Medicago truncatula: one gene and its partner. The protein of the gene in region 1 interacts with the protein of each later gene in a biochemical or structural test. Links are inferred from orthologs where the notes say so. Each region holds a gene or a part of one and is shown on either strand. Other genes may lie near its edges. The genes, in order: B3 domain-containing transcription factor ABI3 and E3 ubiquitin-protein ligase AIP2.

Region 1 (17,342 bases):
TCTTGTGCAATTCGGTTTATCTTATGACGCAATTGATCATATATAATTTCGTTTTGTGCAATTTTATTGATAGTTTACTCAATTGATTTATAGCTTGTTTAGGTTAAGTTTATAATTCTTAATTAGAGGTTTGATCAAATTAGGATTTAGGTTAATTGTGCTTCAGACGCTTGTTATGTTATGGTTAATAGAACTTTTTGATGCTTAATCAATAGGAAACAAATTCTCTAGATGCCTGTTTTCAAGTATGATATTGGGATACAAACGGTGTCATTTTCTCTCCAACATACACTGCAACATAGCCCTTCCTTATTTCTCTCCGGTACTCTTGTTACGCTTGTTTCGGTGAATTTCTTCACAAATTTTGGTGTACCAATACGCCAAAGTACTGCAAACCGGTTCACACAATTTTGTTTCATTAATACATGTAGTGTTTGTTTCACACAATTTTTCCAAAGAAAGATGGAGGAGGAGGAAGAAAGTGGTAAGCTTGTCTTTAGATGGATTAAGTGTAGCAACAAGATCCTACTGAAAATACTCATACTTATTTTCCTCTCTCTCTCTCATCTCAGTGCGCAGGTCCAAGTCTAGAATTCGCCATACAATTCGGAATATTGTGGAAGATTTGAATGTGATTGAATCTGATAAGGACGTGACAGAATTATATAAGAAAATAATATTCTCAATCAAGCCCCCGACTTCTCTTTCAAACCTACCATCGTTACTCGTTGAAGTCGGAGAATATAGATGGTATATGAAGCGTTCATAATTTTCTATTTTATATATTAAAAAGTGAATAGATAGTCGTAAAGATATTTAAGTAACATGAGTAATTAAAATTGATATGCTAATGCAGGGTTATGCAAGTTTTGCAGCAGGAAAAGTCATTGGGTTTTTCTTTACAAGCTCAACCGCACAACAATCCAACATTTAATATTGATACACTTTTGACAATCGCGACAATTCACCCCCGTCACCCTGATCGAACACATTTTCCGGGTAGGTTTTTAAATAAAGTTATTTTTTTATATAAAAGAATTACTAATACTAATACCAACTATTTCATTTGAGTCTATTCAGATAGATTCATCTTCTTTTGTTTATATGTTGATCGTAAGTATTTTTTTAAATACTAATAAAGTTATTTTTTTAAATACTAATACCCTGATCGTACTTAAGAACGCTTCTCATTTAAAGTACAAACCTATAATGATAAGAGAGGAGTTCGATACACATATTCTAAATGATGATGAAATGCGTCTGAGAAAGATGGGTTGTGCGGTGTTTCAATTATATGTCATCGATGATCTATTCAGGTACAATATACGATTTACTTAATGATTTGCCGTTTTCTGTTTCTTTATCGTAAGTATTCATGTGATTGTTGAATTTTGGTATCCAATAGACTGTGTAGACAAAACTCTAATACCTATGAGTTTAAGCAATCATCTCAAAAGAAGTCCAAGAAGAAAAAACAGAAGAAAAAAAAAGGTGTGGCATACACATATATGTTTTATTTATATGTTGTTTATGATCCTTTCTGTTTATGAAAAGATTTTTTCTTGTCTGTAGGCTAAACAAGAGGTGGAAGACCATAAATCTTCAAAAGAGAATAAGGAAAATGATGTATTGAATGAAGAGGAATTGAACTATAAGATGTAAGAAGTACCTATAAGACACATTTTTTTTTATCGCTTTTATCATACGGTATAAAGTATTTAGAGTAACAAAAGTAATATGTTATCTTATTTCAACATGCTGAAAGAAATAACTATAACCTAGGATGGTTTTTTATTGTTAAAGAAGCAAAGTCAATCTTCATAAGCAGAAAATTTAGTGTGTAGAAAGGAAGAATAGAAATTTGATCATGTGGATAAAACATAAAAATTATTTAAAAATATAGTCCAAATTATCTCATATTCTTTTGATATATAGACTATAGTTATAGATAAAATGATGTGGGAAACGTAATGGATGATATTGATCTTCCCTTCCATTCCCTTGTTTGTTATATAAATAAAATAGACGAAGTCAAATAGTATATGTATGACTGAGGATTGTACTTACATATACGGCTCCTTCATTACCTTGTCGACATCAACAATCCAACAATACTCTACTTCTTTACGTCACGTACACGTTATACACCTTTTTGATATCCTAATTTTTTTCTATTAAAAAATATGACTTTTCTATCTGTTTATCATTATTATTTCTTGCTACATGCAACCTTCTTCAACTTATGATTGTCTTTTTTGCGGTATTACAACAAATATTAAGTGGACAAAAAAATAAACAAATATTAAATGAAATACTAAAATACATCTTTTTAGATTAAACTTTTGCTTTTTAATTTTACCCTTACATTTAAACAATTTTATTATTTTTTTCATCTTCGTATCGATATATAAAGGTAATACACTTTTTAGGTTGAATTTTTTCTTTTCACTTTTACCCATTCATTTAAACAATTTTTCATTTATCAATTAAAAATTAGTTAAATCTCATTCAAATAAGAACAATCAACGACAATAAGAGGAACAATTCACAACAATAGACTGCTTCAGCTTTCTTGTTCGCCAAGTTTGAAATGCTTATATATGAGGTGTTTCTCCGGTCTTAGAGAGAGATGAAAGTGAGTCAAACTAGAGTTGATCAAAAGAGAGAATTTTAAGAAGATCAAAAGCTGAGAATTGAGTACTTTTGGATTATAGTCTAGGGTTGGGAAGCATTATGAACACCTTGATGAATGAAATCATAGTGTCATTTGTTCAAGGGAAGGCCAGAAAATGGTAGAACCTCAATAGGGTTAGCCTAATGGTGTTGGTTTGGAACCTTGGAGTATGCACTTCTTAAGGTCTCGTGTTTGATTTCTCCCTATGTCAATTTTGATGGCTTTAAATGTTGTCCTCGCAAGGGAATTATGAGATCATACAATTCAGATTAGTCGGTCCTTAGGCTGGATATTGAGTTTTATTTTAATGAATTAAGGTTTTTGAAGCCTAATTTCTCTTAAATTTATGTATCTATTTATATGAAACTCGTTGATAATAAATTGAAGAACTGCTATTTTCCACATATGTATAGGTCAAATTGAATCGAACTTAGTAAGTGATGTTCATTAATTCACTTTGGTGATTGGTTGCTACAATTTTTCCTACACTCAGCATAGCATTGGTGCGATTTTATTCAAATTCACGACACAATTTATTCAACTGGTGCTTTTATTTTATGCTTTTTCTATAATATTGCAAATGACAATTTATGTGTAAACGGAAAATGGAAGAAAAAGGAACCATTTTAAAGATTTTTAAAAAATTTATGATTCAAATAAAATTATAATGTTATGATGAAATATTTAGAATAACATTTTTAGAAATTTAGAGTGTTTGATCTTCTTAATTTAATTAGTACATAGGACTTGTTTTTTAATAGTTTTTTAAAAATAGATTTTTATAGTTTTTTACTATAATTTTTTAGAAAGGGTTTCAAATAAAAATTTTGTTCGAATATAAACTTATTTAACTTATCTTAAAATGTCATTTTAAAATTTCATCATTTTGTTATAAATTTTTTTGGATATGAATTTTTTACAGATTACTTTATTGAAAAAAGATGTGTGATTTGTTTATATAAAAACTAATATTCATAATTTATACACATTAACCCAATAAAATGATCGGAAGTGTCCACTAATATATATAAAATTCTTACATCTATTGTAAGGTATCTTTTACAATTGCCTACAGAATTACTCAAAAATAAATTATAAGATTTTTCTCTCGACAAATTAATAAAATATGCAATTTGTTAACAATTTTATATATAAAAAAATCTCAAGATCAATACACGAAAATATTCTTTATTGTTTCATCTGCACCATGATTTTCTATGAACTTCAAAATCAAAGTTACAAATGGAGACAGCTCAAGTACAACCCTTACAAAGTTTAAATACACATATCCACATACATCATTTTCACACAACAATTTGCAAATGAATTCCAAACAAATAATACTACAGATCCTTATAAGCTTTGCATGTTCAGCTCAAAGTCTCTTTTATTGACTCTACTCTACTATATTTAAATATATATTATTATGCATCTTACTATATCTTACATATATATTAATTAATTGATATCTTTTTCATTTTTTTCTCTTTGGTGAAGATGGCGTGCCATTATTATCCACTGCAGTTCCAGCTAAATTTGCAGCATTATTCCCATGCTGGTTTTTCTGTGATTTTCCTGCTTTTTTTGCCTCTGGTTTTGTTCCTTGTTGCCTCACTTTAACTCCCCTTATCATCTGTATCACAAATTATATTCCCACCAATTAATTCTCAACTTTTTAATTTTAAAAGAAAAATATATCTCATAATAAAGTTTACTGTTGTATTTTAGACGGTTGGATTGAGAACAAACGACTCGAGTTTTGGTGAGACCTCGAGCATGGTTAATTGGTTCAAATGATTCAACAGCGGTTGAACGAGATGAAAAATGTTAAATAAAAAAATGTGAAGAATATTAAAAAGAATGTAAAATATGAAAATCGGTTTGAACCAACCACGGTTTAACCCGAGGATTCACAATTCAATGAGTTGAACGGGATGAGTTTAGTCTGGTTTTTTAAAACTTTGGTTTGATCTCGATTCAATTACGCCGGGAACTAGGAAATCCAAATCCATGAACATTAAGTAAAAGAAAACATTATAAGAGAAGGCTCTTACAAATTTGCCACACTTCACATCAGAATATATCACTATGAAATCTCCTTCTTGGAGTCCATTAGCTTTCACAAAATCACCTACAAAATGAAAATGAATACATTATGAAAAATAAACAAAAACAAACAAAGCACCAAAGATGAATAAGAAGAATAACTCACCGGTGTTCTCCAGCAAATACATCCTGCTTTTGTTGTTAGGCCAATATCTGATGCTCCAAGAAGAAATAATCAAAAGATAAAATTTTAGTCCCAATGTATCATCATCATAATTTATAAACATAAAAAACAAAATGATGAAGTTAAATTTGTCCATGAAAATTTGCTTACCTATAACGCATATTCCAAACTCGAGAAGTTCCAATGTCTTCCATTGTAATCGAAATTCCATCTCTTGCCTCCAATTCTGGCAAATGTGTTTCTGCCTCTTTCTGATGTTTTTGCAATAAACTATGAATCAATATTTTATTTTCTCATAAAATGTAATGAATAATTGAAAAATAGAAAATCAATAATTACTTTTGGCAAAACAATTCTCCCCAGACTTCCGACATCACTTTGCTTCAAAACCTTTTGTAGAAGGAACCTCAAGTTCTTTTCTGGCTTCCAACCCTATCAATCAAATACATCAAACACATTATTCATAAAGCAAGATAGTTGTGTTTAAAGTCGCACATTTTTTATAATTTGACAGTTATAATTGAGTGATCGGATAATGGCTGTTAGTTGAAGTTATAGTAATGTTGCAAACCATTGTATTGCGATATCTGCATAAGCTACAATAATGTTGCAAACCATTATATTGCGGTATCTGCAGACAAATGGATAAATACCACCACAACTGTGGTTGCTACGCCGTTGCAGAGACCTTTAAAACCATTATATTGCAGCCACAATTACGGTTGTTGACCATAATTTAAAACTTATTCAAGTTCAATAACAAATGATTTTGCATTTACATGCATTTCTAATAATCACACATCGTAGATCATATAAACAACCAAAACATATAATCTAACAATAATATAAAGCTGAAGTCCACAAACCTGTCTCCTATCGGATGCACTTCGACCCTGGTGAGAACTCTGTGTCTGCATGGTGGGGCGGTCACGGTCCACTGGAGGCTGCGTCGGCTCAGCCGGAACAACAGGTGCCAAGGAGGCTGCTGTCCCACCGGTCATAGTCTGCCAATACATCCAGTTCGCTGGATTTGCATGAGAACCACCAGCAGCAACATTGGTGCAACTATCACCACTACCTAATCTCGCAAGTGGATCAGAACCTTGAATATTCTGATGATGGTTAATATTATGATGCCTATGATGAGACATAAACCGCCGTTGCCGAGCCATCCTCTTCTTTCTAGCTTCTTTTGTAGCAGAAGGACCTAACCTCATCAACCTATCACCAGGACCAGGAAACAACTGATAAGAATTATATTGATTTCCATAACCTCCAAAATTCATACCATGAGGTTGTAGCACATTGTTGTTATTTTCCACAAATGATTGATTGTAGTTTGGTGCAACATTGAATTGAGAAGCACCCCATGAATGATTTGATTCCAACATGTGATATTCATTAGTAACAGCAGGTTGGTAAGGGTTAATGTTATTTGAAACAGAACCATTTGTGTAAGGATCAGCAACAAATCCAACTCCAACTCCAACCATTGGTTGTGAAAATTGTTGTGGAGGTACAATGAGAGGTGTTTGATCTAGCCATGATGTTTGGTTGAAACATGCGTTCGATTCAGGTGCAAATGTGTTTGCTGTGTTTTGGTTCTGACACGGATCTTGAAAATGATGTTGTTGAGGAACAATATTTGAAGGTATTATTGTGTTCGTGTTGGCGTTTTCTTTGAGTCTTTTGTTATGAAGATGACTAGTTTGAACCCATTCAAGAATGAGCTTCAACAATTGTTTCATCCCTTCTTTTCCACCACCTAATCTCCTAGCAGCACTTTCAATCGTTGATTTCTTAAGCTTCACATTCCTCAAATCATTCGCGGAGACACTGTCTTTGTTCGATTTAAGCCACTCCAAGAAAACCATACTCATTTCATCACTTACACCATCACATGCACCTAATTCATCTCCTTGAATACTCTCTTCCCCATTTACACCGTCACACACAAAAACATCGTCGTTATTCTCCTCGATATTCACTTGTTGCGGTTTATTTTCCCGATCATCATGCACTATCATCGGAACTTGTTGATGTTGTTGATATCCGTCTTGCACTTGAACTTGTTGCTCTTGAGTGAAATCCACTAAAGGGTTTTCATCTTCATTTTGAAAAATCGAAGCAGGGTCAAAAAATTCATTAGCTTCTAAAAGCTCCATGTAACCAAAAGTATCCATAATGTTAACATCATCCATGCAATCACCACCACCAACAACAACATCATTGTTAGAAACACCAAGATCTTGTTGCTGTTGTTGAGAAATCTCCATAGAAGCAGTTGATGACAAAGTTGTTGGAGGATGACCATGATGATAATCTAATGGATGACCATGTTTTTGATAACCTTGATGATCTACTTCAACATCTGATTTCAAAACAGCCCAAGAAGCTGCAGATGAAGAAGAAGCTGAGGAAGAAGAAGAGGTAGTAGTTGTTGTAGTTGAAGTACATGCAATGGTTTTCAATGGTGTTGAAGATGATGAAGATGAGGATGATGATGACATGCATGGAAAATCAGGTAAAGGAGGAAAATCAGCATAGAACATAGATGCATCATCATTCATATTCATACCTAAAAGATCACCATCTTGATCATTTGTAGTATTATTAAGCCAATTTTCTTCTGCTAAATTTCCAAAACCAACTTGTTCTGTTTCATTCACCAACTTTGCATGCAGATCTAAACCACACTCCATAACAAGATCTAACTTTATCTTTAAAAAACTTCTCTCAAACTTGAAAAACTTTGAAGTTTGATTACCCTTTTGTTCAAGTATTCTTCTGGTGTAATTTTTTTCAGATATGGTGCAAGAAATATGGTACTGTTTGAGGAGAGAGAAAGTACAAAGAGAGAAAAAAATGGATAATTTTGTTTATGTACTTGTCAAGTACAAAAGGAAAAGATCTGTTTAAGGAAGCAAAAGAAGATAAGATTCTTTCAAATCTTATGAATGGATTATGCAACAGAAAACATCTGATTCTCAACAAAAACACTTACCAAGAGAGAGGATATCATTATCAACAACTTGGATAATATATATAATATATATTTAATAATGAAAACCTCTCTTACCTTCAAAGAAAGCGACTTTCACTATTCCAAAAAGTGGGTTTTTTATTGATTTTTTATTCTCATTTGGGTCATTATCATCCTAAATAAACAATCATACACAAACAACCTAGGGTTTTGAAAGGAACACAAAGAACTTGGATGAAGAAATTGAAAGGACTAAAATCAAAACTTTAGAAAGAGCAAATAACAGAGTGAAGCAGAAAGAAAAGATTAAGATTCTTTGTTCACAAACCCAGAAAACCAATCAAATTTTTCAGAGAAAGAAAACCCACATGCTTAAACTGATTGAAAACTTAGTCTTTTTTGGAGAAAAAAAAAACCCACCCATGTGTGTATTCTGGTTTGTTCTAGGAAGTTACATAATTGTTTTGCTTTTGTTAATTGATTTTATTTTCTCTTTCTTAGATAAGTTCAAAATGGTTTTTAGGTAGTTTCACACACACACAAAAACAAAAGGTTATGTAAGAGAGAGAGAATAAGTGGTTTTTTGAGAGAAAAGGTAGTTTTGGTTTTGGAATCAAAAAACAAAATTTCTTGCCGCTAGTTTTGTCAAATGAGGTTACTCCGGAATTTGTGCTATAGACATTCGTTACATTCTCAGTGGTGGTACTAAACGGTGCCACAGTCTTTATTAGAAAGTAAGGTCTTCTGCTCCACAAAGAAAAATTTAATTTTTAGGTGACCTTTGATTAATGTTTTCATTTTGTATTCTTTTTGTTAAATAAATTAATGTCTTACTTGTTTCTACCAAAAAAGTATTATTTCTATCATTTGTTACAACTGTCACATTTTTTTATTTGGAATTATCCATTTGCATGTGTTTTTCTTTTATCTAAATATGTGTTATTAACATATTAGATTTTTCTTTTTTGTGTAATTTTGTCAACTTAATGCAGCCTAGAAATGTTCCGCAATTGAGTGTTAACTCTTTGAGTTTATCGAGTTTACACTTTTAGATATCAAAATCGTGTTAACTTGAAGGTAAACTCGAATTTTGGTAAAATTAGAAGGTTTGATGAGTTTGATCGAGTTAACACTCGGTAAACTCGTGTAAACTCGACCGAAATTTACGAGTTTACATCTAACCAAAAAATCGATCTTTTTTTTTTGGGCCATTTTTTCCAAACCCAATTTCAATCCTACAAGCACAAAGACTGAAGCGTTTACTGAATAGTTAACTTTACAGTAACACGTTGTTCCCGAGATGAAACGTTTCTTTTTCTTTCTTCTCTAAGTCCTCAAACCATGAACAGGGAAGCACATACTAGTTAGGGTTGTGATTCCGACGATGGAAATTCAGATTTCGACGCCGGTTAGGATTGCAGTGGTGGTGTTTGTTGACCTTTTGAAAAAATTAACTAGTTTATTTTTTTAGATAGTTTTATTAACAACTTTAGGAACTTGTGAAACTTGCTTTTTTGGATAGTTTTATGAATGACTTAAACTTAGAGACTTATGAAACTTATGATTTTGTGCGTTAATTTTTGTATTTTGATGCTAAGTTGAGTATAACGTTTTATTATGGTAGTTTGGTATAACTTGTCTTTGTAATTAAGTCATATTTTGCACTATCGACGTATTTACAATATTATATTAGCTTATATATGTCATGCATATAATAAATTCTACATAATTTTAATTTTAGCTAAACTCATACGAGTTCTCGAGTCGAGTTTACTTAAAGAAAATGAGTTGAGGTAAACTCTCGAGTTCTAAAACTTTACCGCTTAATCTGAGTTTTTTTTGTGTGTTTGTTATGTTCAGATTGATAGATCGATTTCAACTTGTCATATATTTAGCTATGATCACTTGGGTATCGACACTAGGATTCGCGGACACCACACAAGTCGATGTTACTCATTTTAAAACACTCCTATCTTAGTTAAGTTACCACAAGTAGAAAGCATATACTTAAAATTAATTGTTAAGATTTTTTTTTTGTATCTTTTGTGGTGCAAAACTAGTCTGAATTCCTCTCAACCGACTCATATATGTCATGTTTAAAGCGGTAGGAGGAAGAATTTTACCACATAGGTCACATACAACAATTTAATGGAGAACACATTTGAGATTCAACCACCCAATTTCATTTATCCCTACTAATATGGAGCAATGTGCAAAATAAGAGATCTCAAAGCCCTCTATAAGATTGCTCTTCACGCCAAAAAAAAATTCTTAATTCCATTAAGATTTAATTACAACTCTTCAATTTATCATATCATATTTGAGTATTTTAAAATCAAAAGAGCTATGCAATTTTTTTTGTGTGTTGGCAAACTGTAATTGATTGATTACATCTTCGTCACTCACAAGTTTTATCATAGTTTCATGGTGATACATTATTAGCACAAATCAATTTTACGCTCTTTACTTTTGTTTGCTTTGCATTCTTCTTATCTTCATCAAGTTTTATCTCATTTATTTTTCTTAAAGATTTTTAACGAGGCATAAAATTATATTTTTATGCACCCTTGTTGTCTATTTGAGTTTTGACCCAAGACCCCAATTTGTTTTTATTAATTTTTTTTACAAGTATGATTTTTTAGTGCCAAGATAATTGAGATTTCTTTATTATCATGTGATTTTTCGCACTCTAATTCTTTGCCTAAAAAACATCATAGTAAAATTATTTAAAACACAAGACATATCAAGAATATATCAACAATACAAAAAAGATAAGTCAAAAAGAAAAGAAAAACTGAATACCTTCAAATTCATCAATAAAAACATCAACAAATATACTGAGACCGAAACATACGCGCGGAGTTCACGCGCCTAAAAACCACATCCATAAAATGAACCAAACCAAAAAATGATAATCAAACATCATTTAGTGGAAAGAACGATTCAATTAAATATCACCAATATTTATCGACAAATCCTAACTCAATAGATAAATAAATTCTGAAATTGTTATGTTGAATATCGTGATCGAAGTTTGAACCTTAAATTCTACACTTATATGTGTGAATATCTAATGACTATTATCGGTTTGTTTATCTACCGTAGAAAATGTCAACAATACTTGACAATTCTTAAAAAAATATATATCATATCCAAAAAAAAGTGTCAACAATACTTGACAATTCTTAAAAAAAATTATATCATATCCAAAACAAAATTAAAACAGACTAAAATATGGTTTTGATCCCTGCAAATTTACTTCATTTTAGTTTTAGTCCATGTAAAACCAAAAAACATCATTGATTACAATTCAATGCTACTATCACAAGGATCTGCGGGCACAACACACAAGTCTATGCTTCTCATTCAAACAACACCCTTATCTTAGTTAAGTTACCGCGAGTAGAAAGCCTCCTTAAAATTAATTGCCATGAAATTTTTTATATCTTTTGTGGGAAAAAATCAGTATGAATTCCTCTCAACCCCCTCCTATTTGTCGTGTTCAAAGTGGTAGGAGGAAGAATTTTACCACATAGGACCATATACAACGATTTAACTGAGAACACATTTGAGGAATCAACAACCATCCAATTTCATTTATCCCTTCCACTATGGAGCAATGTACAAGATAATAAGAGATCTCAAAGCTCTCTAAAAGATTGCTCTTTAGGAAGAAAAAAAAATAGTATTAATTCGATTAAGATTAAATTCCAATTCTTCCACTATTGTATCATATTTGATTATTTTAAAATCAAAAGTGGTATGCAATTTTTTTTTTTGTTGGCAAGTTATAATTGATTACATCTTTTTCACAAGTTTTGTCCTAGTTTCATGGTGATGCACTATTAGCACAAATTAGTTTTATGCTCTTTACTTTTGTTCGCTATGCATTCTTCTTCTTTTTACCAAATTTTATCTCATTGCTTTTTTTTTCTTCAAATTGCTAGGTCAAACGTTGTGATCGAGGTTTGAACTTCAAATTCTACACTTATATGTATGAGTTTCCAATGAATTTTATCAATTCATTTATCTAACAAAAACGTATCAACAGTACTTGACAATTCTTAAAAAAAAAACTATCATATCCAAGACAAAATTAAAAACATCATTGATTACAAAAGATTCACGATTAAATAAACTCACGATTTTAACTTTAGCGTTGAAATTTTTAAAATATTATACAACACTTGGATGGTTACTAAAAAAAGCAAAAATACATAATTTGTCCCTTAACTTAATTTCAATAACACTTTTCTCACTTATCTTTTTTTTTTTCTTCTGATTTAATCTTTAAGTTATAAAATATAAACATTGTTATCCTTTTTATATTAACAAAAAAAAGACAAAAACTCATTGATGACAAAATCTATCATTTGTACTAGTGTGTCGGCATGTAGTAATATTTATAAAAGTTTATCTCCACCTGGATTTTCTTGTTTAAACTTGACTACTAAGATTATGTTAGGAGAAATATATATAAAGAAGAATTTTGAACTTGGCAAATTGGTTGGTTTGAATTCCATAAAAGAAAGAGAAAGCGACTAGGTCATGTTAGATTTTCTTTTTCAAATTGTTGGTAACTACAAACTACGAAGCCAATGTGACTGATTACTTGATTTTAAGATAGTGAACAAAATAGCCAAGTCCACATCTTGGTCACTAACTCTCTTCAACGGTTACTTCTCCCTAATGTCTTCGGTGAGCCCATAACCCTTGATGGTTTAAGAACGCCAAATTAAGTACATGATAAGCGGATGATATACCATTTATTACATTCATATATCTCCCATTATATGTGATCTTTGAGTGAAAGCAAAACCTACTTTATCCTTAATATACACTAAGTCTTTTGTTGTTTTAGAAACCTTTATTTTTAATGTTAATTTAAGTTTTAGGAACAATTTATGCTTGCTAGTGCTGGTTTGTATGGAAGGTCGTGAAAATGTTCAATGATGCATTGCTAAAGGATGGAAGTTGTATTAAGTTACAAGTTTACGATGTATCAGAGTTGGTCTAGAGGATATGCACTAAAATGGACCCATAATTTTTGTTTAATAGAGGCCCAAGAAAATCAAAGTCATGAAGGACCTGAACCTGATATACACATGGATAGACTAGGCCAAAACCCAACAAAACCAAAAACCACCAAAGATTAGTCAAGAAATCAAGGACTTTTACCGAACACAAAATCAGAAAACTACTATGAAAATAAGACCAAAATAGACAATATCAAATCTTAGAATTTACCGAACAAAGAATGTATCATCGTGGACCAAATCAAAGGCCCTAGACCCAAGCAAGTTGATCATAGTGTTAAAGATGTCATGACTCGTTGGCTTAACAGAATGTGACAACAAATAATCACATTGACTTAGGCTTTGAGCAATATCGAACTTTAGTGAAGCTTCTTTTGCAGAAGTAATCGCCTCAGTGTTGACTGATGGTTCAATCACCGCATCGAAGACCTTTAGTTACTTTTAGGATTAATCAGAGGTTGATACACATGTGTAACGCCCCAGATTTTGATCCAAGACATTACGCCTAAATCATTCTCATTTTCGAAAATTACTACCATTTTTTTTTTTTTTTATCATTAATAATAATTCTTAGCAAAATCTATACAAAATTCTTAACATAATTTAATTAAACTTCTCAAACTAAATATCCTTCAAAATTATTACTAAAATTAGAATTCAATTAAAACCCAATTTCTTCCCCGCACGCGCTTCAAGCAAAACACCAAAGCATACACATGTCTTCTTTGGTACCTAAAATGTTAGTGTAAGGGTCAATTTCCTTATCCAAATTGGTTCATACTCAAAGCACAAGAAACAATGTCATAAAATAGATAGTATATATCAAAACTTCTCAATTAAAAAGAAATAAGGAAAATACATTCAAGTTATATGCTTTAAATAAGGTTCACACAATTTCTTTTGCTTTATAATAGTTTAATCACTTATCAACACACAAATGTATAACAGACCCAATGCAATGCAATTATGTGTAAATTGCATGCTTTTAGATTCTACATGATCCGGAAATAACCCGCCACACAGGCACCACACAGAAATAACTCGCCACACAGGCACCACACAGATGCATATGCTAATGCATGATCATGAACAATGAAGACTAAATCCAGCCACTTAGGCACAACAATGCAATATGATATTCTCCCGCCACTAAGGCACCACACAGAAATATATTATTAACCCACCACTAAGGCAAATGCATAGTCAAATAAAATACCCGCCACTAAGGCAACCTCATAAGCAAACACAATCAGATATTAACACATCATCATCCACATGAACCAAAATGAAATATTTTCATAAAACTCATATTACTATATTTTCATTTCTTTAGTTTATCAACAAAATCCAACACTTCTTTCCCAATACCACAAAAAAAACATATATGCATATCAAAATAAAATAAATGTCATTCTACATAACATTTTATGCACACATCATATAAAATATAATTAAACTAATAACTTTTATAAAAGGTTAAATTTTACCATATAAATTCATATTTTAGTTTTTTTGTCTTCTTTTCAACCGACAAGAATCTCTACCTCTAATTCATAACATCATCCTAGTACTTAGTATGGACGTATGGGAAAAAAGTTCGTACCTCATGCATTTTTCTTTCTAAATCACGACTCTAAGCCGCCTCAAACTTGCAGCTACGATGCAGACACAATTTCTTTTACTCCCAGAATTAGCCCGAACGAATGGTGAACGAAGGAGTAATTGAAATTCTACGGCCACCTCTTATGGAAAAAGAAAAAGGCTTATGATTTGGAAATAATTTAGTAAAGTGAGAAGAGAATAAAATAAAAGGACATGTTTAAAATAACTTACACAAAATTAGACAAGATGAAATGTTATGATTGGATTAATGGACACAAAAAATTCGGATGAAATGTGTAGGCCGAGTAAAGAGTAGGAGAATATGTTTGTAGACTTGTGAAGATGGTAGGGAGAAATGTGGCTCACAAGAAGTTACCAAGAGAACAAGTTTGTTTTGATTAAGGCAGGGTTAATGGATGGGTTTATTTAGTGTAATTGTCACAGAAGAAGACAAAGGCGTGTGACAATAAGAAAATTGGTGTCTTGGTTTTAAATAGAAATAAAGAATAAATAATGTTTGGAATCATAAGGATCTTTTAGAGAGATAAGTGTGTATTTGTGGTTTGTGTAGCAGATAGTAGGAAACGTTATTGGTCTCTTCCTAATTGTATGTTATCCCTAGGAAAATTATTATAGCTAGATATATGAAAAACCGCCCCTCTTGAACAAAAATCAGAAAAATAAAGAAAAGAAAACTAAGTTTATTTTAATTGAGCCACTCATAGCATAACTATAGGAGGTAGTTGAACCATGGGAGGTGGATTCCTTATCTTTAGGAAGGCATACTAATAAGTAAACAACAGCAACGTGACTAACAAGAGAGTAGTGTTTTGACTCAGCAACAAAAGGGGACACTCATGGTCAAATAAGTAGAATATATACTTGAGTAAAAATAGGCATTGACAGCACAAAAATAACCACGTACAATACAAAATAATAGAAGATGTGGTTACAAGGATGATAAAATGAAACATGTGCAAAAAAAAAGTGTGCTATTAACACTTAAGTAGAAATCTAACTAGTATATTTGTCTAAAATAAAATAAAATAAGTTATATAAAGAGGTAGAAGGTTATTCTATTATATAGTCATAGCAAATTGATCAAATATACTAAATAAGAATAATTAAAACAACTAAAACTAAGGGAATAATTATTTCAAAAATAAAGGGTCTTAAATTTTTTCTTAAATTCTTTACACCTAAATTAAGTTGTTGAATAACTAATAAACTAAAATAACATATATATATATATATATATATATATATATATATATGAGACAGGATTCGTTGACACCAAATCTTAAGCGTTAATTTCTCTTAATCTAAAGGTCAATAATTATTCATCAAAATTTTAATGTGGGCATTCAGTATTTTATATCTCATTTTTAAGACTATTTATTTTATTCTCTCTCATCAATCTCATTCACCTTCTTCCCTAAAGCCTCATCTCTCCGTTAAGCAAACTAGTTCTACGGGTTATTGATCCTTCTTCTATAATCTCAATAACAAAATTATTTCTATATATCTCCAACAAAGATAATTCTTGATTTTTTATTTTATGCAATTGGCAGCACCTCAAATTAAAGGTTTTGGTTATACATCTGTCAGCATCTCAATTTAAAGGTTTTTCATTTTTTCAACATCATAAAACAATAAAACGTAATAAGAGTATTTTAATTAACTATTGTTTTCATGGATAATTAACTATTTTTTCAATTACCTGAGTTATTGATTTAATTGTTTTGGAAATTGAGAAATTAATCTGAATGAATTGGTTGCTGTGAAGAAGATAACGAATGTTTTTTTTATAATCATATGGATACAAATATATCTCTTTAATTCAATACATTCCTCTCCATTTTCATTAATTTGGAATAAATTGTCCTTGGAAGAAGGAGGCGCACTACAAGAAATCTGGTTTTTACTGGCGGAAATAATCCCTCAGTAACGCCAAAAATCCCTCAGTAGTACATATTACTGGCGAATATGAATCCCTCAGTAATATGAGCGTCAGTAATGTTACTGGCGGAATTTTCCCTCAGTAATGGAGAGGTAGTTTTGACAAAGCATTACTGAGGGATTATTCCGCCAGTAATATTTATATTGAACTGCATTACTGACGGAAATTTCAGCCAATAATGTACTTCTCACTTTTTTTTTTATTCCTTTCCACTTTTTAATTTTAATTAAAGAAATAAAATTTATTAAACACAAATAAATTAATGAAATAAAGTTTTAATTTAATAAGACAAAAATTAATTAAACTGACATATATCATCATAATATTCGTACAATCCATAAATCATTTTCGTACAAAACCATGAATATATCAATAATATTCGTACAATCTAAAAACTAACATAATAAAGTAATTATCATAATATAGGAAAATTTGATCTTGATCTCCCTCCTAACTCAAAATCCTTGCAAATCCTTCAACTCTTCTTGAGTATTAGATTCCTCAATCTTTCAGCAGCTCAAGCAGCCCTTTTGTTGGTTGGCTCAAGTACAGGGGTATATTTAAAATCATCAATTGCTTCTTTGTAGTAGCCCAGCATCTCTCTAATTGTACCTGTATGGAAGTACGCCTTCATACTCTTTTTGTCAAGACTTATTGCTTTTGTACAATCTGCCTCAGCTTGGAGATAACTGCCAAGCTTAAGAAACGCTTGAAGGATACATGGTCTTTAGCGTGTCAAGCAAAAAGCGATCACCACCATACCGAGCTATCAGGGAAACTCTTAAATGTTGCTTGACCCTTAAATGTCAATTAACATGTTATCAAAGCCTCTAGAAAACAAAAAAGTGAAACAAGAA
Region 2 (16,697 bases), on another chromosome or scaffold:
TAGAATAGAATCTACTCATATGTGGCCTATGTAGCACTCACACTTCCGATTAAAGACATGTATCATATTTGACATGTGTCTGATAGCAACGTGGATACTGACACATGTGATTATATTCAATCACTTTCATTATTTAAAATTATTATTGGTGTCTATGTATCAATGTCAGTATCGTGTTTGGTGTCTGTGTCTTTATGTCAGTGCTTCATCGCGTGGCTGATTTGATATTTACCTTTACTGTCTATGCAATGCAATTGTAGGTTTCCTTTCAAGTTGCTGACGCTCTACAACAACCATTCCCTGATGGCCAGTTTGATCTAGTGTGGTCAATGGAGAGCGGAGAGCATATGCCTAACAAACCAAAGGTCCGTATTTATCTTGCTGTCTCACTTGCATACTGCTCTTCGCTTTCTTTTATATTTTCTATTCTTTATGCTAGTAAAGTTGTAATCAATCTCATTTCAGTTTCCTGTTTCATACAAAAACTGTTTCAGTTTGTTGGAGAGTTAGCTCGGGTAGCAGCACCGGGTGGCACCATAATAATAGTAACATGGTGTCATAGGGATCTTCGCCCGGATGAAGAATCCCTACAACAATGGGAGAAGGATCTCTTGAAGAAGATATGTGATTCATTTTATCTTCCGGAGTGGTGCTCAACTGCTGATTATGTCAAATTACTTGAAACCATGTCCCTTCAGGTAGTTAATTAATATACCTAATTGTAATATTTTCATTCTCTGCTATGAGTTGAGAAATGTTAAAGAGTTTATTAGTATCTGGATACACTTGTTATTAACTATTAGTTTTTAAACAATTTCTTATATTAGTTGAAAATAGCTTTTTACATCTCAATTTTTCACAAGATACTGTAAGCTTGTTAGACTGCATTACATGGACTGCATTGCATGTAAACGACTGTACACTTATTGATATGGAAAAACTTAAGGAATTACAAGCCAATTCAAATGAGATAGTTACATATAATAATTTATTGAATAAGCACTTAAACAATCACTATTTGCTATTAAGTTAGGTTGTGTGGTTGTATTGACATGTTTGGTTGCTATCTATCTAGGACATCAAATCAGCAGATTGGTCTCCCTTTGTTGCTCCATTTTGGCCAGCAGTGATACGTTCAGCATTAACATGGAAGGGTTTCACCTCAATCTTGCGGAGTGGTAAGCTCAACATTTTATATTGCATTTACAAACAGCCCCTTTGTTTAAAATCATAAGTCTTATTAAACAATCTCCATCCTCTATTGAGTGTCACATTAGCAAAAGAAAAACGTCTCAAAATAAGTGTCGCTTTACATTTTTTTCCCTAAACCACATATGCTTTTGTTGAGGGTGGAGATCGAATCCTCAACCTACTCCTCTCCTAAACACTCCCACCCAATCACCAAGCCAACCTTATATCTCCATGTTGCGTTACGTGTTTGATGTAACATTAATTATTTTCAGTTCTGTTCCAAAATTAATGTTATATACTCCGGTATGCATTTAGGATAATGGTCAACAGTTAATGGTTCATATGAATACATTTGTAAAATTGTTATACTCTTTCTCTTATATATACCTTTTCTGAATATGTGCGAAATAATCTCAAGTGACGCTCAATATGTGACCGTGGGAGTACATAAATTGATAATGATCTTGTTGGATGAAACGACTTAATGGGAATTATGTCATTTTTGTTGTTGTGTGCAGGACTAAAAACTATAAAAGGAGCTTTGGCTATGCCATTGATGATAGAAGGATTTAGGAAGGGTGTGATTAAGTTTGCCATTATCACATGTCGAAAGCCTGAAAACGCAGATGGTCAATGATTTTATATGATGAAACAGAATTCCTACATGTCATTTATTTTGATAGTTCACACAAAACAAATAAGAAATAAAGAATACGTGTTTCTGCCATGTCAGATCCAACTGTGATTGAATAATTGAAGGAAAGATGTAAGCTAGTTCCTGTTGTGTAGCCTCCAATCGAAATGTCAGTTCAATTTTCCTTTGTTCAATATTGCTTTTGTTTTTTTAATCATGTTATTGCTGCAAATTATTAATTGACTTTGTCGTTGACTAATCTCTGTGGGAGAGCTTGATCGGCCACCTTTAACGGGATCTCCCATTCTAACACATTTTTTCCATCCATATAAGAATGTCAGCAAACTTATTTTACTATCAAGGTCATACATTAGTAAGAGTTTTTCTTTTTGGTTCCATAAGTTGTTTTGAATACACATAACACATGTCCTAGTCATATAAATAGTTTGTACACATTGTGCCCTGGTTGTACACATTGTGACCTAGACAGTAAAACAAGTTTTACTGAGATTCTTATATGGGAATTTAAAGACCATTTTTTGATTGCATAGACATCTAAATATGTAAATGGTCACTTTACCACAGATATCAATTGTACCACATTGGAGGAAATTCTAATGTGGACCGATAATCAGCATCTTCAATGTTGTATGCATATTTTTTATGAATACGGAGTACAGATTTAATATTTTTTGTAGACCTGGAGGAGTATGATGTGACGGCCATTGAGCAATAACATGTTCTTAGCCATTGTGGATGGATTGTGGGGTCCGTGTAAAGTAAATTAAGAACAAAGCTAGTGTTTGGTTTCACATCCATTCACCGCCCGGCGTCCACCGGCTTTCTATTGTGAAAGACAAGAAGCTACAGAGTATAAACTCAAGTTAATTGCACGTCCGATGAGTTTTTGTTGCGAAAACAAACACGGTAAAAATTGAGTTTGGTGAAAAGATGATTTTTTTATTTTATTTTTTAAATCCTATGTGGCACTTTTGGGTCCAGAAGAAATAGTTACGAATCTAACTTGTGTTGCAGCATTGGAAATGCTTTTACAGTTTATTTGGAGCTCCAATGGTGTGGCATACACCACCTTCCGAAAGTCAAAACTCAATCATTATCTTCCTCATGAATGAGACTTAATCGGTGTTAGTTGAGAAAAATAAGAAAATATAAATATATATGTTCTCAACTCAAATCATATTGTTTTTTCTTGAATCGATATTGATTAGGTCACCATCTCAATCATAAAAATAAATAGTATTGGACATTTCTACTTCCGAAAAACATCGTCAATCATCATTAGAATTTGTATTAATTTGTTGGTATCAATCAACCATATATGACTATCAAAGTAATCCACAGTAAAACCCCACACGCGACATGACATTGCCACATTGGTAATAGTTGTCTGTTTGATTCCACATTTAGATTTGCAATTTTACGTTCCAAGACCAATATCACTGTGAACTTGAGAACCTATAAATTGGATTGTTTGGTGGACGTTGGATGTGAACACAACTTTCCAATTTTCCAAAAACACAATAAATTTTGTTTTGATTCTCTTTTTTTTCTTTCAAGAATTTAGTTTTGATTCTTAAATGAGTGTAAAGAGCATTGTTGATTGCATAAACATCTAAAAAAGTAAACGATCACTTTACCAAAGATATATTTTCAAGTGAGGGTTGGAGGCTTTGTCAACTTGTTTAGGCCCTTTATTATCCAGATTCCACAAATGAAGTTCATTAAACCCTTCTTTTCTATAGCATTAAGATGAAAACGTGAAACCTTAAAGAACCAAAAAAGCAAAACCAATTTATTAAACAAATAAGCCTGCATTAGCCTAATGACTTTTGTGTTTGCAAGCTAGCTTCTAGTTGAAGTGAAAACACACACACACACACACACACGAGGAACAAGAAAAGAAGAACAAAAAAAAAGATCAAAATAAACGGCCATTACTTTTCCATATTTTCCTCCACAAATCTAGTGTTAAGAATACTTGTCTTGTGAATGGGGTTTGAGGAGCATTGACTTTGTAATAAAAGAAGACAAAGATTCCATAACGAGGAGCCAAAAGTGGTTGCTTCTTACTTTTGCTTGGGAAGGGTCAGCTGCAACACTAGTCACATTGCAAAACCCAACACTTTACCTTTGACAATTTAACCTCGTGATTCCACTTTCTCTTTCTTTTATGCAACATCAAATTATTAATTTAATGTTTTTTTGTTTCTGTGCTTTCTGTACTTTTTCATTTTTTCAACCCGAATCCTAAGCTTCTCTAGATTGTCTTCTAACAAGAGTCAACTACTTATTGGCTTATAGTAGTGGATTTTATTTATCCAAATTTATTGTAAAATTTTATATTCATTTTAGTTTTGATAATTTTAATATAAGGAATCACACCCATTTTAATATTTGTAAAAAAAACATACATGTTTTTTTAAATTTATTTTCTATTTTTACTTTTGACTATAAGTTATTACTTTTTTCCAATCTATTATTTTATTTTTGCAAACATTATATGTGAAAATAGTGAATTTTCATTTTCAACACTTAGCATTCTATTCTTTTAGAAAAAATTAAAATGAAAACAAAGTAAATATTTGGTAATTAAAAAAATAAAAAACCATTTTAAAACTAAATTGATATTTTTTCTTGATTCATATTGATAAATATTTTGTCACAATTTTCACATTTAATTAAAAAGATATATCTACATATGAAGGGGAATATCAAGTTTTGGTGTTCCTTAAAAAAAAAAAAAAATTGGTGTATTTGTTTCTTCCAATTTTATTCTTTATCTAAAAAGTCTTATTTACAATTTTATCCAATCAAATAATTTAATTTTTTAAAATATTTACGCAAAATATCTTCACCTATATATAAAATTTTGATGTAACAATTTATTTTCAAATTTTATTATTTATTTAAACGATTCTATTCAATTTTTAATCCTTTTTACCGTCCTGAATTTGGAAAACAATACATAAATCAAAATAAGTATAAGGTTTTTAGTTTTGTAATTAAAAATTAAATAGAAAATAAAACAAAATATTTTCTAAAATTAAATTGACCAATTTGTTTTGTACCAAAGAATAATGTTATAAAATACCGTCCAAAATAAAATAAAAAACAAAAAATCGACGTAAGAAAATCCGTTGACATAGAGATATAGATATGATCCGAATCTATCCAATGTAACACCAACATTAAGCCACTCCACTCGTGTGTGTTGCTTTGTTTGTGCGTGTGTTTGTGTCTTTGTGAGTATCAAAGTGTCAACAATCCATTGTTGTTAAACAAATATTATTATTATTCTTATTATAAAAGTGATCCCTACGAACCTTCCTCCCTCTCTCTTTGTGTTGTGGACAAATTCACTTTCCCTTTTTCACTTTTTTTGGATTTCATTCATTTTAAACACCTAATCCATACCTCCATTTTCATTCATTCATTCATTCTCTCTTCTGTCTCAGTCTGTGTGTTTTACACTCTCACCTTGCACTTGCACTTGCACCTGCTCAAACACCTTCAGGTACTTTTTTGTTCTTACTTTCATTCATAATCTTGTTCTTGTTCTTGTTCTTGTATTATATCATCATTATTGTAAACCCTTTTGAATATGTGTTTTTTTAGTTAGTATTTTTACTATTATTATTTACAATTTTTAGTTTGAGGGTTTGTACTAAAAAGGGTGAAATTTTGTTTACTGTTTGCAATTGAGGTCTCAAGGTTAATCTTTGCTTGTGAACTTTGATGAATAGCTTCTTAAGCTAAGAGGGTTTATTGAAAGTTATATAAAGTCTTGAAATTTTTATGGTGAAATTAAAAGGGATTGTTGAATGAAGGGGAAAGTTTTGAACTTTTTCCTGTTTACCCTTTTTTATGATATGTTAATGTGTTCATTTGAAAGTTATTATTCTTATCAATTGGTTTTGAAAAATTGATTTTTTTGTTGTTAACATCTTACTTCTTCTGTTGCTGCAGTTGTTTGCTCTAAATTTGTGATCAATGGAGCATAGATTGAAAAGAAAGTCTCCAGAGAATGGATTCAACAGTTTTTCACTGGATGATCTGAATGAAGATGTCTTTGAAAAGGTACTTTCGTGGTTACCGACTTCCAGTTTCTTTCGCCTTACTTCGGTGTGCAAGAGATGGAAATCAGCTGCTGATTCTGCGAGTTTCAAGCTTGCTTGCTCACACATCCCCACAAGGGATCCTTGGTTTTTCATGGTTGCTCCCGATCTCAACCAATCTGTAATTTTTGACTTGGCTGAAAACAGTTGGAAAAGACTCAATCATCCGAATCTTCTGCTCGAAGATTCCAACAAAAGTTGCATTCCTGTTGCAGCTTCTAATGGCCTGGTTTGCTACCGAACATCGTCGGGAAACTTCATTGTGTCCAATCCTGTGACCGGATCTTCTACCGAACTCCCTCCATTGAATTTCACCTCAGAAAATCAATCTCTCAATGCTGTTGTTATGAGTACAACATCTTTCAATGGCCAAATATCCTACAAGATTGTATTAGTCTTCGGTGAACTTCCCAATCTTTCATTTAAAGTCTATAACTCAAGCTCTGCCTGTTGGGAAGACGAGAATGCTCTTGGGAGGAAGGTCGATGATAGTTCAGCGGATTGTGATTCAACCGATGACAATGTTGTGTACTTTCTGAGCAAGGCTGGAAATGTGGTAGCAAGTAGCATGCAGAGAAGTCCAACCAAGCAATATTCGTCGGTCATTACTAACCAAGACGGTCAAGAGGTAGTCTATTTTTTGAGTTCGTCTGGGACCGTTGTAGCTTGCAATTTGACCTGCACGTGTTTCTTTGAGTACCCTAGGCTATTGCCAGTTTTTTGCGAGTACTCTATCGATATTGTGGAGTGTAATGGTGAGATGATAGTTGTTTTGTTATCGGAATTCTTGGAAACTACAAGTCTTAGGGTGTGGAGATTCGATGAGACCAACCGATGCTGGCAACAGATTGCAGCAATGCCAGCAGCAATGTCTCATGAATGGTACGGAAAGAAGCCGGATATCAATTGTGTTGGTGCCGGTTCTCGGATTTTTATATGCTTGAACTCTCCTGAGCTATGTACTTATGTTCTGTGTGATTTGGTAACCAACAACTGGGTTGAATTGCCAAAATGTCACATTAATGGAGAAGTCATGGAGTTTATGTCGGCATTTTCTTTCGAGCCGAGGATAGAAGCTTCTGTTTGAGAGTGAAATGCCCTAGTTGGATATCTTGGTTTTATTTATCAACCATTTTTTATGTTCTGTTGTTAGCTTGCATTTTATTTTGATTTGTGCTTAATTTTTTTTTTCTTCATGCAACATAGCTAGATATGGAAGCTAACCAAATGATTTGATTGTTGACAGATTATATTGTAATTTTCTTAATTGATTGTCAGATGTAACATTGTTCTCATTTAGTGGTATTATCAATGAATGATCTTGTTCATGATTCTTTTTCATTGTTTGATATTTAGTTCTCCACAAATAGAGGAGACATCAATATGGCTTTTCTGGAAGAAAATTTACATAGTTTATTGTTTTATATATTGAAGGTATAATTAATTTTTTAGTCCCTATAAATATTCACAGTTTTGTTTTTATTCCCTACAAAATAAAATCACACTTTTTAGTTCCAGTGAAAGATGATATCAAAATTACCTTTTTCTTTTTGTTATGAACTCTGAGAACACCAGTGCCTGAACCTCATCTCATTTATGATTGATTGTTTAAAATTTAAATTTTTAAGGATAAAAGTGACACTAATTTGTTGAGTCTTCTATGTAGATTTTCAAGCTAACTAAGATGTGATCTTACCTTCTTTTTTGCAATAGAAGCAATTCCTAATTTTTTATTTGATGCTATTGTGTAACCACTCACCATTGTAACATTGATATGCGATTTTTTATTTTTTTTATTTTTTATATATAATCATTTTTAATGTTTATTACAAGTGAAATGGAAGATAAAAGTAACAATGAAAAAACTTTGTTAAATTTAATTATATTTACAAAAATTGAAATCAAAATACCCATTGATATATATTAAAATTCAAAATATTCAAAATAATTTTTTGACACTAGTAAATCACTTTAGGCTTAATTGCAATTTTGGTGCCCTATTTTCATGATTTTGCGAAATTGGTCCCCACCATTGTAAAATTCAACAATTTTGGCCCCTCTATCAAATATTGTGATATGATATTTTTTAAATGGAGTTTTAAAGAGAATTTTGTTACAATTTTATCGATGTTGATTTTTTTTCATCTTCAGATCATATTCCACGACCTTTAAAATTTATCACATCAAATTTTTATAGTTCAAAAATATGATTTAGGGATCAAAACTGTCAAAATTTAAAATAGAGTGAACAAAACTGTATTTAAGTCATCACTTTATTTCATTAATAATGATCAACTACTCAATGTATGATGGAATATCAATAGAAAAATTGAAGGACAGCCAGATGATATATGAAAACTAAAACAGTCCTTCATGAAACTATATCGCAACTTTTTTCTTCGAAATGTACCACATCAGAGTTTTTAACATAAATAAAAATTTTCTAAAATACTAAAATAATATTTTATCCATCGTCATCTTTAAAAAAATTGTCTTCCAAACATCATACAATATAAACAAATTGCTCAATACCTTTAATATTTGACTTGCGTTGTGTTGTTGAGCATTTCCCTTTAGTTTTAATACTAGATCAAAAGCATTATGGGAGAAATCAAACATTCATCATCAATAACGTGGTATTGTAAAAAATTCATCAATGACGTGGCAAAAAATGATTGGATAACCTACTCAAAGAACGGTAGGAACATATGTAGACGATCATTCCCTTCAGTTTCCCCTTGCCGAAGAAAATCAATTCCCAAACCAAATATATAAAACATCACAAAATCATAGAAGAAGAAGAAGAAGAAGAAAAAGGGTTTCTCAATTTCCAAAATCTGAGTGAAAAATCATTGCAAGAACAGAAACAAAATGGAATCAGAAAATTTGGTGAAACAAGAATTGGAGGAATTGCAGAAACAATTGGGGAAGAAGCAGAAATTCGAAGACGCTGTGTCATCTCTCAAATCTCTGCTCCAAACCACGTATCCATTAGCTTCCACCTCTCTTCGAAAATCGGTATACTCCTTTGATTTCAATTCTTCATTAATATTCAAAAAAATTGTGGTTTAATTCTATATAACTAGTTGCTGGTGTGTACTTGTCAATTTAATTTCTGGGTTTTGTTTATTTTTCTGTGTTTGTTTAAGTTTGGTAAAAAAGAACTGATTTTTAATTTGTTTGGATTGATCTATAGTTTATACTGTTATATAATTGGATGTATTATGAAGAGTTAGCACACATGGTTAACGATACTTGTGGATATTTCCAACGTCGAGCGGCTAATTGAGTAGCTAGCTTGGTGTGAAACTGTTTACAGTTATGAAGCTTGGATACATACATGGACTCCTGTGATAATTTTAGGAAATTATAGTAATTGAATGTAACAATTGAGTCGCTGGGACGGGATGAAACAGTTTTATGCGTACGAAGAACTGACAGATACATGACGTTGGACATTGATAGTTTGACACCAGTAATAAGAAAATGGTAGTAATTGAAATTAAACAATTTGTCGTGACTCATTGGACAAAAAAATTGTGTCATGGTATGTCAGGTTCAAAAACCGACACGCAGCAGCGAAGCTTCTTGGAATATGGAGGTGCTGAAAGTTTTTTTATACATATATAATAAAATGCTAATATACATTAATGATTTATAAGTAGTAATGTCTTATGTGCGGGTTTGATCCCTGGATTTCGTGTTTTTGCAACTCATCTATTTTTTCCATAAAGTCTCCAAATGCTAAATATCATACTCAAATCTAGTATTTCTATATAAAACAGAGGTGCTATACTGCTCAGCGCTGACCAACATCAATTTGATATCAATTTTGCTATAAATATTATTAGGGTCTCGTTAACGAGTGCCCGCGGGGCACTCTTTAAGCATTCTAATTCAAGAAATTATCCACTAAAAAAAGTCAATTGTTTCAATTTCCAATGCATTCAATACAATGATTCTCATAAAAATTTAATATTTAAAGGTCTTAAAGAGTGCCCCGGGGGCACTCATAACATCTCCCATATTATTATTATTATTATATGTATGTATGTTTATGGCCCCTTCATAAATTTGTGCCATGCTCCGCCATTGCTAACATGTGTCGACTACTGGACACGCTTTCAATCCAAAGTGATGGTGCTACATGGGCAGTAACTTGCTGGTTATATCTGCTAACGCAGCCTCGGCATGCTATCGGATGCCCTGTCGATAAGTCTTGGGATTGAGGTTTCCTCCCTTTGCTCTCATTTTCAACATATAAAGGAAATTAAACAATTTGATATTGATATATGTATGTATTTATCTCTGTATATACATGTATGTTGTTAAGGCTAATGATGAGGTCAACTGATAAGTTAGAATAGCACTGCTGGGAATTTTTTTAGTTTCGTTCCTGCTAATGATCTTTCATTGTTAGGTCATTCATAAGTGCTCTTGTTAGGGGTACTTTGAATAGGTTAATGTTATTGTTTGATGGATAATTAAAGGCCAATAAATTGACTGTGGTGTTATTGGTGGTGGCAGTTTTATTCTGTTATATGCCGAGTTGCGACAGTGTTGAAGACGAGATATACAGCACCCGGTTTTTGGAGTGCTGGCCTGAGCCTTTTTGAGCAGGCTATATTGTTTGTTTCTGAACCCTCTGAAAAGGAGCACTTGAAGGCTTGCATTGCTCAGGCCAGGGAACATTTGCATCTAGAAGACAACCCTTCACAAACTTCGCAACCTGCAGTAAATCGTGAAAATAGAGGTGATTTTCTTTTTGAAGAGTTTTTTTTTTCTTTTTTCTTGATGTGTAATTTATAGCTTTTTCATGTTGATGAGTTTTGGGATATGGATGTTTTTAGATAGTTTGCTTTAACCTTCCCGTGTTTATCGCGTTGTGTTGATTCAGGATATCTTTTTGAGGGGCACCTTACGGTAGATCAAGAGCCACCACAACCTGAATGGATGGTGCAGGCAAATCTCTTGAATGAAGCTGTTCGACTATTTGAAGCTCAACCCTCTCAGGGTTTAGCAACAAATGACACCACGCCAGAGGATGTTGCTAGTGTGCTTGAAATGCTTAGAAATAGATTGGAAGAAGTTGTGCCCCTGGTATTTATCCAAAAACTTTTCATGTATTTTGGCCACACCTTATTTGCTTTCATTCTTTCTCTTAAATATCAACCTGGCTTTGAATATCTCTAGATTCAGTTTCTGTAACTTCAAGAAGTTTGTGGCTTAAGCATTGTTTAAAACAGTAACAAACCAGCTATCCTAGGTTCAATTGAGAACTTCAACAAATTATGTATGCTCAACTTAGAACTTGAGCATATACATAGTTGACTTCAGAATAGCATTTCTTGAGGTTCTATTAAACAAACTAAGCTACTTTAGAATGGTTCAATAGGATAATTTTTCACAACTACATGAATCAACGCAAACAGCCTGCTTAACAACATAGTTTCTTATGCATAATGTTCCTTGTTCGGTGGCTTTAGTGGATATAATTGATAATTTGATTGCGATGCACCTTTTTTTTTAATAAGCAAAAGATAATGATACATTCTTTTATGGGTGATTAGATATAAACAACCTGCTCAGCTCACTCATTTTGTTAACTACTATATCACATTTTGCTCGTTTCAACTTGCCTTTTGATTAATATATACTCATTTTTGTCTCATTTAATTGTTAAACTTTACACTGTTTAATTATAAGGCTGACTTTTTTTCTTCTTCTTCTTCTTCTTTTTTTTTTTTTTTTATAAAAATAATTGATTAGATGGAGACTGGTGGTCCTGCAGCTCCAAGAGTTCCTCCTGCGAGTAAAGAAGTTGTCTCAAAACTTCCTGTCATTACTCTCACCGAAGAGATCCTGTCTAAGATGGGGAAAGATGCAGAGTGTGCCATTTGCAGGGAAAATTTGGTGTTAAATGACCAAATGCAAGAGTTACCGTGCAAGCACACATTCCACCCTCCATGTTTAAAGCCATGGCTGGTATTGTTTCGTAGTCCACTTATTTACTGAAAGTTCTGTTTTTCCCTTTTAAAACCAATTTTTTGCATTTGATACTAAAGAGACGGAAGAAATTACATGATCAGATATGAAATTTGTTTAATTTTATCCCTCATGTGGCAGGATGAGCACAATTCTTGTCCTATCTGTCGTTATGAGCTGCAAACTGATGATCATGCCTATGAGAGCTGGAAGGAACGTGAAAAGGAAGCGGAAGAGGAGAGGAAAGGTGCTGCAAATGCTCTTCGAGGCGGTGAATTCATGTATGTTTAGACGGCTATTCAATGCAATTACGATGTATACTATGGTTTACCCTGAAATAAGGGATTAAAAATTTCCTGGTGGTGAATAGTTGTGTATTCTTCATTATTTGAAATTATATAGTTATCTCGTCTCATGTTTTAAGTGTGACTGCTATTCCTTGAAATTTAATATCTCGCTTTATAGTTTTTCTGAACAATGATTGTCTACAAATACAGTCCTCCAAACAATGTTGGGATCATTGATTCATGAGTTCAATTTTATCCCATATTCTTTTCCAAACATATGTTGAAGAGGTTGAGCTATAAGGAATATGTTGAAGAGGTTGAGCTATAAGGATAATGTGTTTATTTACTGAAAATTGAGCAAAAGCTCTTACAATATGAAAATAGAAGATAAATTGTAGAAAGAAAGTGATTCCCAAATACTCCAGAGTAAAACGCCTCACAGAAAGAGTAGAGAACACTCTCTTTCTTTGCCTAACCATAATGGTTTCCACAATAACCTTGCATACAATTTTGGTGACATTAAATTTTGGGTTGATGACTTTGTCTCTATCTTTTTTTTTGGTGGTGGCCGAGTTTGAACCCCCGGACCTTGCATATATTATGCATTGTCCATACCAACTGAGCTAAGTTCACGAGAACTTTGTCTCTATCTCTCTTCTCATTAAAAGAATTTATTTTAATTGTCATCTATCATTCTCTCCTGTTAAAATACACTAAAGTCACTACATGTCACAAGTATTTTCCTTACAACTCACTCACCTCACTATTTATACTACTGGGCATAACAAACTTGCAACCTAACATCCTAACCCACCCTTTATTACATATAAGAGCATCTTCATAAAAAGTTTTTAAATGGATCTTGTTTGCACACGTCATTTATTTACAATTTTTTAATAAAAGATTCAATGACTTTAATGGTAGTAAATTAAAAAATCCTTAAATATTTACTTTAATATGTACATTTAGAAAACAAACAAAAAGAAATTGAAGAGACTAAAAGTTACATAAATTTGAAATGACGGAACCAACTTTTATTTATTTTCTTTCCTATTTTAATCCCGTTAATTGTTAAAGAGAAATAGGATCCTTTATATAAATGATGGTAACTAATAGATATCCATTAGAGGTCCTTTAATAAGATGAAGTCCTTATTGTATAAATAACTCATAATTGGAGATACTTGAACCTCACCATACTTTTTATTACTTTCTCTTTTAAAAAATAATTGATCTTTTTGCAACAAAAATTTATCTCCAAATAATAAACATTTTCAAATTTAAACACAACATTAATTACTTTTTTTTTTCTTCCAATTGTACATTTTAATTAATATTGCTTGCATCGCTCACAATCTAAATTTAATATCTTGTACTTTACGTTTACGATAAATACATCAAGTATCACTTTTTTATTAATACATATTTTTTTGACTGTTGCTTTTCTGACATCCTGTCTTGGAAACATAAGTAAATGACCAAAAAATCCAGCGGTAGTTAACTGCTACCGGTTTTTTAGTTATAAATAAGCGATAGTTAAAAAAGCAATTGTCTATTTTTTTTATATAGGTGAAGTGGTGAACGATGGATCTCAATTTTTTTAATACTAATAGCCCTTCTTTTCCTTATCCCTCTTACTCGGGTCTCTATCAATTCGTTAGAGCATTTGCACATTTTAACGTACACAGTTTCAGTAGGGAAGACCATGAGTTGTAGATCCTATGATACCTAAAAAATTATATGCAGAAATCAGAATTGCAGATAAAGAGAATCTCCTACTAAATTTAATACAGGCAGGTACTAAGATTTACTACTACTCACTGACTCTACCCTATACGGCTATACCTGCACTGTATTTATCATTGTACATCAAATTAAAAATTTATTAACTAAATCTAAAATTTGTATTTTATAAGACTTATTTGTAACTTACACGAGTCTTTTTTTATTTTATTCTGACAGTATATTGCACTCTCTCTATCCTACAATCAATGGTTCATTCGTAGAAGAAAAAATTTCTGAAAATAACATCAGAGGTTTTTCCCTTTTAAATAAATCCTACAATATCAAATTATATTTGAAAACTACATCAACTTTTTATTTTCATTGATCAAGCCTCTAAAAGAACTTCAAATAGATCACACCCTTCCCATTTTTTATAACCTAGATTGCATGTTGTCAAATAATCGACACATTTACGCAGTTTTGTACATCTGTGATTGTTGGACCAAAATTCAACCGTTTAGATTTTTTCAAGCTTGATATTTTCATTGCAATTTGAACAATTCAATCTCGATCCAACGGTCATAAATATTCGCCACTGCGTGGATGTGTCAAAAATTTTGACTGGAAGCAATCTGATTTCAATTTCTATTTTTTGTTGGCTATGAATCTATGATGAGCATGACATGCATGGAAACCATTTTTAAGCATAAACACCAAAACTTTCATTAAAACAATCTACAATAATGTGGTTAAATATAACAAATAATGTGAATCTATATCAAGAAAACAATATATCAAACTTGTAATGATCAACGGTATGTATAACTGTTTATTGTACTAAACAACATTCTTCAATTCATCCTTTCACAAACAAGCAATTTCAAAATGATTAGATTCCACTACAAGTCTCAAACCAAGCAATTCTAGCAGCGCTAAAAACACTGACCTCACACAACCAAGTATTTATCACCTCAAAAATGAATATTTTTAGGTATAAAGCATCAACCTGAAAAAATAGAAGTCAATATATAACCCAGCTACATTCTAGCTTGGTACTAAAAAAATGACAAATACAAGTTCTCACTCAGTTTAATATACACCAGCGCCTCTGGCTAACGAATTGAAGGTGCCAAAACAGCCCCCAATCGTCATATGATAAAATTGCCAGAGAGTAGAGCATTCTCGAAAACCAAAGTCAAGAAACCTCCCATAACAAATCTATTCAACATTACCAAGTGATGGGCATGAAGATCAGAGAATTGACTTCAACTGTGAACCAGTATGAGCCTCAGATCCTAATAATACACCGTCTTTTTAACTGCTCGACCTTACCCTACTCCACCTATTTGCAGATCTTTGTGAACTTTGCGGCGACTCGCGAGGCTCAGAGAATCTGTCATTTCTGGGCTCAGAGAATCTATCATTTCTGGGTGCATATCTTTGTGAATTTTGATTCCACTCACGAGGCTCTGAATATCTATTGTTTCGAGTTGGTGCAGATCTTGGTGAATTCTGAGTCCACTCACGAGGCTCTGAGAATCTATCGCTTCTAGGTGCAGATCCCATTCCATCATTCCTGCCACCTCTTCTATTATCTCTCCTCATATAATGATTGTTAGGTCTGTTTTCCCCATTTTCCCCAACAGTTGACTTTTTTTCTTCTTGCTCAGCTTCATAGGCCAATGGTTGGATCCCCTGAAGATCAGGTTCTGGGATATACCCAGCAGGTCGCTTGGATTCATCCATTCTTCTAAATGTGATTGATATCCTAGCAAAAGTTTCAACAAAAGAACACAAGTCAATAACCATTTTTAAAAAAAAAAAAATTGGAAGAGGGAAAATTATTATTAATTGAAGTAACACTGACGGCCATTTTAACACTGAACACACACGTAAATCAATAACTTGTCATTGGTGTTAAAAGCCGAAAAAGGGAATATCATGCTATCATATCAGTAAATACCTTTTTGTAGGAACTGCAGGTACACAATGCTTAGCAACATCAGCTCCATTTCCATTTAAAACAAGTACAGATCTGTAGAGGGAAAAAATGATTATAAGATTTGGAATCGTCAATAACAATGGAAAATTGGTAAATAATTTAATCCAAATCGATCCGACACCGTGTAGCAACAGTTAAAAAACTAAAAAGACATAGTAGTAGATAAATCAAGATTGAATACTTACCCTACAGGTAGAGGAATAGCAAACGAACCATCAAATTTACCAGGACCTGCAATCCTCAGGTTTGACCCAAAAAGTATGTCGCACTCACTTAGAAATGAGACAGTACAAAATGGTCGAACAAAATCGTGATTATCAATGTGTGGAGGTATGCAGTCCCCTTCTTCATACACATTCACGATACAGCTATCTGGCACACAAGTAGTTGGAAGTACATGCCACTTGACTAGGCGTCGAATGATGACCTTGAAAAGATCAGGTAAAGGATCTATGGATGCATGGTGGAGAATACCCGGTGGGTTACCATCCTTATCCTGTAACCAGAAAGTTAATTTTAGAAGTTATACATCCATTTATGAAGCTCATCAACCATAATAGTTTGCCGCAAACGATAGCTAAGTTTAATTCTTTCCAAAGAAAGAAATGTGAAGACATAACGTGAGAGATAGACTAACCACTGCATAATTGTAACAGCACCCAAATTGGATAGTTTGGCGTCCCTTGCCCGGCATCCACTTTCTAGGAGCTGAGTATGTCCGGTCTGAAAAAGTTAAGA

Evidence for each region.
Region 2: the proteins of B3 domain-containing transcription factor ABI3 (region 1) and E3 ubiquitin-protein ligase AIP2 form a complex in vitro, tested with the Arabidopsis thaliana proteins (2 studies listed by BioGRID, with this or other methods). The link is inferred for Medicago truncatula from reciprocal best matches to the Arabidopsis thaliana genes ABI3 and AIP2.

The regions. Positions count from the first base shown.
Region 1 is NC_053048.1:27,917,291-27,934,632, forward strand, and holds B3 domain-containing transcription factor ABI3, read right to left. Parts: upstream 7,949-17,342; 5' UTR 7,607-7,948; coding exon 5,771-7,606; intron 5,337-5,770; coding exon 5,244-5,336; intron 5,156-5,243; coding exon 5,055-5,155; intron 4,940-5,054; coding exon 4,887-4,939; intron 4,806-4,886; coding exon 4,729-4,805; intron 4,308-4,728; coding exon 4,149-4,307; 3' UTR 3,843-4,148; downstream 1-3,842. UniProt on the Arabidopsis thaliana protein: Participates in abscisic acid-regulated gene expression during seed development. Regulates the transcription of SGR1 and SGR2 that are involved in leaf and embryo degreening.
Region 2 is NC_053042.1:3,565,158-3,581,854, forward strand, and holds E3 ubiquitin-protein ligase AIP2, read left to right. Parts: upstream 1-8,701; 5' UTR 8,702-8,832; coding exon 8,833-8,979; intron 8,980-10,488; coding exon 10,489-10,714; intron 10,715-10,858; coding exon 10,859-11,061; intron 11,062-11,730; coding exon 11,731-11,946; intron 11,947-12,087; coding exon 12,088-12,237; 3' UTR 12,238-12,424; downstream 12,425-16,697. Other genes in the region: tocopherol O-methyltransferase, chloroplastic, read left to right, coding at 261-365, 495-698, 1,076-1,178, 1,710-1,828; F-box only protein 13, read left to right, coding at 5,837-7,048; RNA demethylase ALKBH9B, read right to left, coding at 15,272-15,725, 15,921-15,992, 16,145-16,455, 16,597-16,682. UniProt on the Arabidopsis thaliana protein: E3 ubiquitin-protein ligase that acts as a negative regulator of abscisic acid (ABA) signaling. Mediates ubiquitination and subsequent proteasomal degradation of the transcription factor ABI3.